Drosophila melanogaster: one gene and its partner. The protein of the gene in region 2 purifies or fractionates together with the protein of the main gene of each other region. This does not show direct contact. Each region holds a gene or a part of one and is shown on either strand. Other genes may lie near its edges. The genes, in order: Chrac-16 and Acf.

Region 1 (3,631 bases), on a different chromosome or scaffold from region 2:
TACTACATCGATACCACCGACTACGAGGTGAAGTCGTATGACTATGATTTCGAGACCGGCGTGGCTAGCAATCCCAAGGTTATATTCAATCTGCGCAAGAATAGTCCCAAGGATCATCTGCTGCCCGATGGCCTGACCATCGATACCGAGGGCAACCTGTATGTGGCCACCTTCAATGGCGCCACCATCTACAAGGTTAATCCCAAGTGAGTAGTTCACTCTAACATTCGTGATCGAGTGTTAAATGTCGTACTTCATTGCAGCACTGGCAAGATTCTGCTTGAGATCAAGTTCCCAACCAAACAGATTACCTCCGCCGCCTTCGGTGGCCCCAACTTGGACATCCTGTACGTGACCACTGCCGCCAAGTTCGATCAGCCCGCTCCAGCTGGCACCACCTACAAGGTGACCGGACTGAACGCCACCGGCTATCCCGGCGTCAACCTGAAGGTCTAGGAGCTGCAATCTCTATCTATCCTTAGCCGCAGTAAAATGTACCAATCGAATCCAAGTGCAATTATATGTTATGCTCTTTAACGTTTTAAATCGCGTCTATCAATGTTTTGCATGCTAGTTAGGTTATCCTTTTTTGCAGTTCTAGTTCAAGGTCAGCTTAAGGATCACATTCTCTCCTGGGAATATCCAGGATCATCATGTAAACTCACAAAGAGGTTGACTATGCTCTACTTTACTCTGATTTCAAACAACAATCTTATCAGCCGCAGACACACGGTAATCATCCGCGGATCTTATGGTCATTTGGAGGACGCAGTGCTCTTATGCTTCTTTATTAATCAGTGGTTCTATAAACAATTTTATACTTATCGTCTAGTCTAAAATTAAAGATAGCAAGGTGGCGTAAAAAATCAGTCGATGTTTTGGTGAATGGAGATCATCCACTCAATTTCGGTGTAGATAAACATCTGCATGACCGTCTATTCATCAGACTCCGATTCCGATTCGGACTCTTCTTCATCGTCATCATCGTCGTCGTCATCGTCGTCGTCGCTGCCGGCGGAGCGATTTAGCCGCAGCATCTCCTGGAACTGGTGTACACGGATCTTTTGCGGCACGATCTGCAGCAGAAACTCCAGATTCTTGTTCTTATTGACCACCTGGGAGAGATGCTCGTACTTGAGCGCTTCGCCCGGTCGCTGGCCGAATTCCTCCGTGTATGCCGCGCCCGCCAAATGGCGAACGAATAGCTCCGTGCACTTGGTCATCAGGAAGAGCACCTCGTTGGTGATCAAGCCCGTGTCCATGGAGCTCTTCATGATCGTTCGCACGCGGCTGAGGGGCAGAAAGGTTTCCGCGGTCGGTGGACGCTCCACGGGTGGTTGGCTCCTTGGTTCGCCCATTTGTTTACTTAATTCCCAAGCAAACTATGGCTTGGGAATTTTTTTGGTTTTAGAGCTGGGCTCACAAGTGGAGCTGTGAAACTATCGATGTTACAATCGAGGCATGAAATTCGTACCTTTCTGAGACACTATCGATTCTTTTTTTTTATTTGCTATCGATGGTTATGGTTTATGAAGACTTAAAATAAGTAACCGCAGGGCTTCCCTTAAAACGAACAATGCTGGCATACTTCTATTTTTGCAAGGAATTGGATGTGCACAATAATATATGTGTTACTTTCTCAGAATTAAGTTATAGCGCTAAATATATAAAAATTGAGAAACCCATTCGGATTTGCCTATACTTTCAGCTCTAGCTGGAGCGGGAATTTAACCAAATAACGTTGCGCCGATATGCTATCGGTAGCCACAACAAGTATTTAATAAAAGTTTTCCAAATATTTCAATTTATTAGTGGAAAAACCGCTCTAAGCAAATACCTTTAACTTAATCAAGAGATTAGGGGTAAAACGATTAGGATCTGCACGATTTATAAGGAAACATTCAATTGCAACAACATTTAGACAAGTCAATATTATCTACTTTTGTCTTTTCAGTATGCAATCAACTTTGGATTTTCACACTTATAGCTTAAAAATCTGTCTTCATTTTCGAACTCACATATAAATAAATATCAATAAATTATTATTGCACTTGATTTGTTTGCAGCAACGTTGCCAGACTTCCGTAATCGATGACTATCGAACCTATCGCTGCGCGGCATGTGCAACACTGCGTTTTCTGCTGCCCCCTTTTGGCTGTTGTTTCGTGTGTTGACCAATAAATTTTTCGCGTACTTTTCCAACTTTTCAATTACCGAACCGCAATTGCCGCCAAAATAGATAGCCGATAGCTAGTCGAGCGAGTAACCAGCGAGTTTTTGGCCAATTCACGCGACGATCAGGGGCAGTGGAAGCAGGAGCAGGATCTCGACCAGATCGCCAGGAAGCGACATTTCCATTAGAGCGGTTCAAGTGAAAGCGAGTGAGCTGCACGGCACGAGAGAACGAGACAGACAGACGGCGAGAGTGAGAGCGAGCGAGAGAGCTAGTTAAATCCTTTCGAGAATTCCAGGAATTCAAGCATCCAAAACAGCTGCTGCTGCCGCAAAATCATCAACATCATCACCATCGCTGTTTGTGAAACGTTGTTCAAGCAACGGCGTGCCAACAAACCAGTATCGACATTTAGATCTAGATTCGAATCCCCTATCCACATAGCTTGTGGGTGCACTTTTCCAGTTGGCCAATCTCAACCAGCAATTAAAAATGGCCGCTGCCGCTGCGAGCGCAGTGAATGCAGTGAACGACTGCTTCAGCATCGGATCCACAGTCGTCTGTACGACCTGTTTCAACGAGGAGGTGGAGGGCGAGGTGCTGGCCTTCGATCACAACACAAAGATGCTTATCCTGAGTATCCTTTTGCAACGAAATCCCCGAAATGCATACCCACACACACACACAACTTGCCCGCCGGGTGAAAGCGAGCACTTTCTCCGGCTGTCCACAGGGATCTCTTGAGCTGTCTGGACAAAAAGTCACACTGTCCTTTAGATTCGTATATAATTCTAATTCACACTCATCTTAACTGATAGCATTCACATATCACCTATCTCTTATCAAACCCATTGTTTACTGCTTGACAATTTGGTTCTCCGTACATCGTATATCTTTGCCCCCCGTTCCTGCTCTTCTCTTCCCTTTCCAACCGCATAGAATGCCGATCCAAGTCCACGGAGGAGCTGAGTGATATCTACGCGATGAACCTCTCGCTCTGCAGCAACGTGCAGGTGATCAAGGAGTGCAACGGCAACTTTGATGATCCGCAAAAGCTTAATCTGGAACAGGTAAGCATGCCAGCTCTGACCACTTACATAAATATATATATATATATATATATATTGCTTATACAGGTCAAAATGCGTCTGAGGAAAACAGTTGAGCGAAGACAGGACTACTTGAAGTCTAAGAATGCTGATGTCAGTCCAGAGGCGCAGGAACTCTATAGAGCGATAGCCAAACAATACGGGGTAATGACCTCTTGCACGATGCCCTATCATCATTAACCATTGCTATTTCTTTTACTATTTTGTAGTACAATGAAGTCTCCTGGCAAGGACTTAACATACAGATCCTAAATGAAGTCACCATCTCGCCGCCGTACCGAGTGGACAACGTGGTGTCCAGCTCGAACAACGAAACTTCATGCAACTACATCAAGCGCATCGTAAGCAA
Region 2 (8,010 bases):
ATCTAAAATTGGTTTACCTTTAGGGAAATGTCTTAAAGGTACAAATTTTTAATGTTCTCACATGATATTCACCCAGGCGGGCAACCAATGAGTTAAGCGCTTGTGTGCGGTTTTCGCCCCAAACGACTAGCTTGGCAATCATGGGGTCGTAGTGCACAGACACCTCATCTCCTTCTCGGACACCCGTCTCCACGCGAACGTTGTTTGATGGTTGGGGAGTAGACAAATATCGCAGGGGTCCGGCTCCGGGCAGAAAGCCTCCGCGAGGATTTTCTGCATAAATGCGAGCTTCAAATGCGTGGCCACGCCGCGTAATCTCAGATTGCTTCAGGGGTAATGGCTCACCGGCGGCAATGCGAATCTGCCATTCAACCAAATCGGTGCCCGTAATCATTTCCGTTATAGGATGCTCCACCTGCAGGCGGGTATTCATTTCCATGAAGTGGAAAGAGAGATCTTCTTTGTCTAGAATGAACTCCACGGTGCCAGCTCCTACGTAGCCCACAGCTTTCGCTGCACGAACAGCAGCCTCGCCCAGCTCACGACGCAAATCTTCCGACAAACCTGGCTGTTGTATAAATGAGCATTATTTTTAAAATAGCCGAAGCTCTTGTGCACTTACAGCTGGCGCCTCTTCAATAATCTTTTGATGACGTCTTTGCACGGAGCAATCTCTTTCCCACAGATAGACAGCATCACCATACTGATCCGCAAATACTTGAACCTCTACGTGGCGTGGAGATCGGACGTACCGCTCCAGAAGCACAGAGCTGTCGCCAAACGACTTCTCGGACTCGGTGCGAGCTGAGTTCAGAGCGGTGAGGAAGTCGTCCGGTTTTTCTGCGATTCTCATGCCTTTGCCTCCGCCGCCGCGGACGGCTTTAATCATCAAGGGAAAGCCAATTTTGTCGGCTTCTCGCTGCAAACACTCATCTGACTGATCATCGCCATGGTATCCATTGATGATCGGCACCCCAGCAGCGGCCATTATGGCCTTGCTGGTGCTCTTAATCCCCATGTCCCGGATGGCGGAACTGGGCGGACCCATGAAGATGATGCCCTCACGCTGGCACAACTCGGCAAACTCGACGGACTCGGAGAGGAAGCCGTAGCCTGGGTGGATGGCCTGGGCGCCCGAACGCTTGGCTATGTCCAGGATGCGTTCACCGCGAAGATAGGAAGCCGAGGAGGCAGCTTCCCCCACGCGGTACGACTCGTCTGCCAACTGCGTGTGCATGCTCTTCTCGTCCGGATCCGAGAACACGGCCACGGTACGAACTCCCAGCTTGCGTGCGGTTCGAATCACCCTGCATGCGATCTCACCACGATTTGAAATAAGGATCTTGCTGATAGGCCGAACTTTTGGGCTGGCTTCTGTTGCAAAGCACCTGCGTCAAGCCAAAACAAATTAGCAAGGTTTATGTAATCGTCAAGAACGAAATTAAGTCTTTTGATTTAGCGGCCTTAACAAAGAACTGCCGATCATTTCCCTCACCTGGCGTTTGCGCCGAAGTTTCGCAGCAGTCTGGCGTACATTATTAGTAGAATTAATTGTAAGAATAAATAACAAATATACTTTATTCAGAGCAAGTGTGCGATCGTCGCTTATCACAGCTGGAAAAACGCACACGCACAAGATCGCAATTGAGATGGGCGACTCACGAGATGCATGGTTGAAAATATTAATGTTTCATATATCTTTTGGGGATTATCATATATCATCAATATCTTTTAGGGAAATTGATATTACGTATATTGTGTTTTTTTTAAGTTGCAACCCATAAAAAATATTACCGTTATATTATTCTGGACTATTTATCGAACTGTTGACATCCATCCGACCGCGTCCTTACGGTTTTCTGCGCTCGTGAAGTTCGGTAACATTGTTCGCAGAAACTCGATAACCGATAGTTTAACGTCGAAGAGCGATAGGCCCCAAAATATGCGCGTGAAAATAGATTGTGCGCTATAAAATAAACGGATTTAGGTAGTTGGTGTTGAGGAAGCCAGCCACAAACATAGTAGAAATTGTCGGAAAAGTGTCGCCCGCCGACAGCTTGTATAATTGCGTCGGAAGTCAACGCGCGTATCGCTGGAAAACCGTTTGCATCGAAAGCCCCTCCGGAAAGGCGTGAAAAGTTGGGCGCCTTTTGCGCTTGTCGCTTGGCGTTGTAAAATTTATCAGTTGCTCCGCGGTTGTTTTTATTGTGAACTGTTAAACGTGCACTTCGAAGGACTGCCATTTAAACTTAAGGACATTCAAGAGCAAAAGGAAAACACCAAACATGCCCATTTGCAAGCGGGAAGGATTCGACCTGAATCAGAAGGAGGGCAAGAACGAAACATTCCACGACAACGACCAGGTCTTCTGCTGCTACATCACTAAGCGCATTTTTCGCGACTATGAGTAAGTGCATCCTGCTACCATTCCTGCAACTGCCCCTTCCCTTCTCCTGCCATTAGGTGGACGCTGCGCTAAAGTATACAACAAAAGCGACGCTGCAAAAGCATTTGCACACGATGTACCGTACATCACCATTCAGTGTGTGTGTGTGTGTGTTCGCAGGGGTGCATAAGTGTGCGAGTCTCGTGGGCCAAAGGCGAAAAAAACGCTGTTCGGTGGCGGGAAGAAATTACAGCTGCCGCCGCACAGCTGCTCGCCGCGGAGTTGCCACCTGGTGCCAAAGCGCGCGCTCTTGAATTTGGAATTTGTTGACCCAATTCGACTTATATGATCCTTCTAGATATTTTTAAGATCAGCAATTATTTAAGAGGCTGGGTAGCGCGAAACTATTTTAATAAATAGCAAACATACTAAATATGTTTTACTCTGACAAGCTTCAATTATATCAAAATAAATTGACCTTAAAACGCTGATCGATTAAATTTATTTATCCAGACACTACTTCCGGCACGTGATGGTGATCAACTCAACGGTGTGGCAGTGCGAGGCCACCGGCAAGGAGAACCTCACCTACGAGGAGGCGGTCAAAAGTGAGCGGGCGGCTCGCAAGAAGATGGAGCAGTTCAAACAGAGCCTTCGGGCACCCGTCCTTCTGGTTGTGGAGCACGCCCAACAGTCGGCGGTCAACACCTTGAACATGATAGTGGCCAAGTTTCTGCGCAAGCGCTACTTTATCGGCGAGGAGGTGTCGGTGCAAGCTAAGAAGAACGCCACGTACACGGTGTTGGGTGTCAAGTTGGACAAAAATATGCCGGAACCACTCAATGGTATCTATGAGGACACGGACAACCTGGTCTACAGACTACGACCAAACAAGGGCGATCCCAGTGCAGAGCTTGATCTGCCCTTTAGGCAATTACGTCGCTCGCGCATGGAGTTTAACCTGGAAAACCTGAGTATGTTTATAAAGAGCAATGTATCGCGGGTGGATGGACTTCTTCGACCCAAGCCAGAGGCATACAAGCAGTACGTGACGGACCCTGGCGTAAACTTCTCCACAATTTTCATTGGCAAAATGCCACGTTATTCTCCCGCTAAGATTAAAAAACCTGACGGCAAGAAGCAATCCACTCTCAACAAATATATTGTCGCCGGTGAAGCAACGGCTGCAAAGTCAAAGGCGAAGGCCAAGTCTGATGCTAAATCTCTGGCAGAGGAATTGGAGCGGGTTAAGCGAGAAAAAGAGGCCAAGCTTATTGAGTTGGAAAAACAAAAGGCGGAAAAGAAGGCACAGTTGATTGAACGCGTTGAAAACGAATGTAATTTACTGCTTCAAAAGACGGACGACCTGGAGAGAACCGACCAAAAAGTCCTGCCCCGCTACAGACAGATCGTCACATTGCTGCCTGAGCACCTCCTGGGTGATGCCTTCATGATGCGCGAGTTTATGCACACTTACACAGGATTGCTGTCCGGCATCGAGGTGTTCCGTCAGAACCTCAGTTTCTACGAGATGACACGTGCACTGACTGCTCGTGAGATTGCGGGCCCACTATCGGACATCCTCCTCGTTCTGCTTGGCACTGTTTTCGATCTGCAAAAAGAAGAGGAGGAGGAATGCGCAGTGACCTACCTCGATCGGGCTGCACAAACTCAGGAGCCCTATTGGAGTATGGCGCAGGCCGCCAAAAGTCACCTTTACGCCAAGAGGCACTTTTCCTTTAAGGTCAATACTTTGTTTGTGCCGACGTGTGTTATCTAAACTAATTTTATTTTCCCAATAGGTAAATGAACTACCATTAGATGCACTGACTCTCAGTGAAGTGCTACGACTGCATCTACTTGGATCCGGAGCTTTTGTAAATGAAAAGGCGGAGCGCTGGAGAGTCATGTACCGGAATGGCTACTCGTCAAAAGAAGACCCTGGTCTGGAACTACGTCTGGAACACTCGCACATCCTGCGCATTCTCAAAAATCATTCCGTATATCAGCTAAAGTTTAAGGATATAATGCTCCTGATTCGCTGCCTGATGTCCCAAATTATGACATACTCGGGCACGATTAACTTGATTGAGGAGCGTATGGAGCAAACAGCAAAGGCCAGGCAAGATCTACGAGCTCTAGTTGTCGGGGAAAATAAGAGATTAGCCGCCGTAGAGATAAACAGGAAAAAACTCACGCAAATGCACCACCTGGAGGTAAATGGCGTTGAGCCTGAAAAGAGGGAAGCGTTGGTCGAGAAATTAAAGAAGAGTATTGCCGAGCTACACGCCCAATCGGATCAGCAACATCGCAAGCACGAGTTGCAGATGCTTAAGTTGCATTCGCAGCTTTTCAATTTTTTGGTTTACTTGGGCATGGATAGGTGCTACAGGAAATATTACGTTTTGGAGTCTATGCCTGGGATCTTTGTCGAGCATTCGCCGGACAGCCTTGACACTTGTTTGGAGCAACCAATAACAAATAAGTCCCAAATAGAAATTCGTCAGCAGTCTGCATTGCCAAAGAATCGCAAGGACCTAAGGGTATATCTACTCAAACTCTACGGAGACGACGAAAAGAAAACTAAGAAAAAGGCCAAGCACTCTCTAGAGAACAAGGAGAACCAAGAGCATCGCCTTAACGGCAGTGCAGAACCCATGGATGTCGAATCTGATTCTCCAGAGGCTCCCACTCATTTTGAGCTCTTGATGTGCAGTGGTGACAAACGATCTTGTATTGTGCATGATTCAAGAAATGGGCAACGGCAGCGTTGGGCATATATTTACAAAGCCGAGGAGATCGATGAATTAATTAAGGCTCTCAATCCCAATGGTCTCCGTGAATATGAACTCCTTCAAGAGCTATCCGTTCTGCGTTCCTTAATCGAACAGCATGCTAAGACCTGCCCAGTAGACTTGCTAAGTCTAGAAAACGAAACAATGCGCAAGAAGTTTATGGCGGCGATGGAATCTGAAACTAACCGTAAATACGGAGAAGCAAACTTTGGGTTACCGAATGGGACCGATCTAAACGAAGTGATGCGCTTGCATTTAGTGGATCGAATTATTCAATTTGAAAATGATATTTACACTGGTGATCTCGGCCGCCTGAAAGTTAAGGATATGGAAAAGTGGCGAAGTGACTTGCTTGGAGGCAATTACGACGCTCAGTGCAAGTTGCAGTGGGGCCCGGGTGGCAAGTTGGAAGATGAAGCTGGTTCTGACAACGAATCCCACGAAACTCACGAGGAGGACGATGGCGCACTATTAGGTAAATATGCCAGGAAACCATATCGCGATCCTGGCATGTATTTGGCAGCTTCTGCAGACACAAAACCCCTACCAGACAGCGACGATGAGGAGGATCAGCATACGAATGCCGTCTCGATTCCTATCGCCGTGCATAACATGGCCTCGGCCCTTCTGCAAGTGGAGCAGGCTATTGGAAAACGGTTTCTGAAGGAACCCTACGGCATGAAGAAGTGGGACCCCAAGCAGGAGGCTTTAAAACTTGCCTGCGACTCGCGTTTGCACCAGTGGGAAGTTTCGCTAATGGAAAGTACAAGCTTTGCTCAAGTCTTTCTGCACCTAAACATCTTGCACGACTGTATTCAGTGGAGGCGTTCCACCAATAAGTCATTATGCAAGGTCTGCAGGCGTGGCAGCGATCCGGAGAAGATGCTGCTGTGCGATGAATGCAACGCTGGCACTCACATGTTCTGCCTGAAGCCTAAGCTGAGGTCTGTACCCCCGGGCAACTGGTATTGCAATGATTGCGTAAAGAGTCTGGGTCTCAGCAATGGTCAAAACGAAAAGGATAAAAAGCAGGCGACAAAGAAGAAACGCAAGTTTATCGTAGAAGAGGAGGATGATGAAGCTACAGACGAAGAAGAGGAAGAGAAAAAGGATGACGATATGACCGATGAGGATGCGGAGCACGAGAACGAAAAACACGATGAGGACGTTGAGGACGACGAAAGTGTGACCTCTACCCCCTCATCTTCCAGAGTCAATGGGCGAATTTTAAGGCGACCCCGCACACGGCCAACAAGCAGAAGACTTACTTCGAAAGAGATCGAAGAACATGCTCAGGAAGACGTTGACAGCGGAGACGTCAGCGATGACGCATCCTTAACCGCCGGTGAAGATACGATCGAAGACGAGTCGTAAGTTAAAAACTGGATTGAAAATTAAATTTAGATAATGAACCCATTGCAATCCACAGAGATGAGGAAAAGGTGTGTCAGAAGTGTTTCTACGATGGCGGTGAAATCAAATGTGTGCAATGCAGGCTATTCTTTCACCTGGAATGTGTTCACCTCAAGCGACCGCCTCGCACAGATTTCGTTTGTAAAACCTGCAAGCCGATGCCACAACGACCTAGGCGCCGGCACAGTAACAGTAAGTCCACAAATTTCTCCTTAATGAATAGCTCACTAATAGCCCGTGTGATTTCTGTCCAACAAGTGAATGGTGATCATGACCGCGATGAGGAGGAGCCAAAAGCAAAGCGACCACGTAACTCTTTGCGCCTATCTATCGACAAGACCGCCCGCCCAAGCAACGGCAACAACAACAACAATAATAACAACAGCAGCGTCAATAACAACAACCATCGCAGAAGCGGGCGTCGGACGAACGAGCACATGCCGTTGAACAGTGCCGCCTTGTACGATCTGCTTGAGCAGATCATGAAGCACAAGGCCGCTTGGCCGTTTCTGCGACCAGTGCTGACATCGGAGGTTCCCGACTACCATCAGATCATCAAAACGCCCATGGATCTAGCTAAAATCAAATCCAAGCTAAACATGGGCGCCTACCAGCTAAACGAGGAGCTGCTCAGCGACATTCAGTTGGTGTTTAGAAACTGCGATTTGTACAACGTAGAAGGCAACGAAATATACGAGTGAGTAGATTGGGATAATCCGTAAGTGGTCTTGTTGTTTATCCTTTATCTTGAATCCGTTGCAGCGCTGGTTGTCAACTAGAACGATTCGTGATCGATCGATGTAGGGACATGCAGCTACCGTTTAGGCCTAGCGATATGAACGGGGAAGTCAAAGCTTGCTGAGCCGGACGCTGATCTCCACCAGCTATCGTGTAAATTAGTTAGTCTACTCTAAGCCGTAGTTGAAAACCATATATATTTAAGCACAAATATTAAGTGTATTTAAAGATCTTTATTTTCGTGCATGTCAGTTCTAAGTTCAGCACACGCATATGCAAAAAATCCTTATCTGTTGGTTTATGAGACTTTATGTATTTATAAATTATTGTAGACACTACGAAAATTCCACAATCAATAAATGAAGTGACCGGAAACAAACGATTCAAAATAAATAAGTAAAAAAAATTGTTTTGTTGGAGGTGTAAAAAGCTAAAATTAAATGAATACAAATTTTAAAAGAGCTTAGCTCTGTATAAACGCAGGAAAAATGGGTAGATGGAGTTTGCCAGTTTTTAAAACAGACGATTTGATCGCAAAAAAAAAAATATTGCTTAAAGAACCTAATTTGCCAAATTCTTTCTTAATCGAGAAAAAAGTGTTGGATGCTGCATTGTTATTATTACTTTTTATGAAATCTAAGCTATGTGTGTTTCACTGGACATTAAAAGTAAGAGTGA

Evidence for each region.
Region 1: the proteins of Acf (region 2) and Chrac-16 fractionate together in Drosophila melanogaster (co-fractionation; 2 studies listed by BioGRID, with this or other methods). This does not show direct contact.

Annotation. Positions count from the first base shown.
Region 1 is NC_004354.4:12,016,516-12,020,146, forward strand, and holds Chrac-16 (chromatin accessibility complex 16kD protein), read right to left. Parts: upstream 1,447-3,631; 5' UTR 1,359-1,446; coding exon 936-1,358; 3' UTR 710-935; downstream 1-709. Other genes in the region: regucalcin, read left to right, coding at 1-206, 264-456; Lsm12a (LSM12 homolog a), read left to right, coding at 2,666-2,810, 3,113-3,243, 3,310-3,426, 3,492-3,623. UniProt on the Drosophila melanogaster protein: Histone-like protein which promotes nucleosome sliding of ATP-dependent nucleosome remodeling complexes. Part of the chromatin-accessibility complex (CHRAC) which uses energy/ATP to increase the general accessibility of DNA in chromatin.
Region 2 is NT_033777.3:31,792,083-31,800,092, forward strand, and holds Acf (ATP-dependent chromatin assembly factor large subunit), read left to right. Parts: upstream 1-1,898; 5' UTR 1,899-2,285; coding exon 2,286-2,407; intron 2,408-2,899; coding exon 2,900-4,130; intron 4,131-4,188; coding exon 4,189-6,551; intron 6,552-6,610; coding exon 6,611-6,786; intron 6,787-6,852; coding exon 6,853-7,291; intron 7,292-7,356; coding exon 7,357-7,456; 3' UTR 7,457-7,717; downstream 7,718-8,010. Other genes in the region: Mccc1 (Methylcrotonoyl-CoA carboxylase 1), read right to left, coding at 1-2, 62-568, 623-1,388, 1,496-1,536.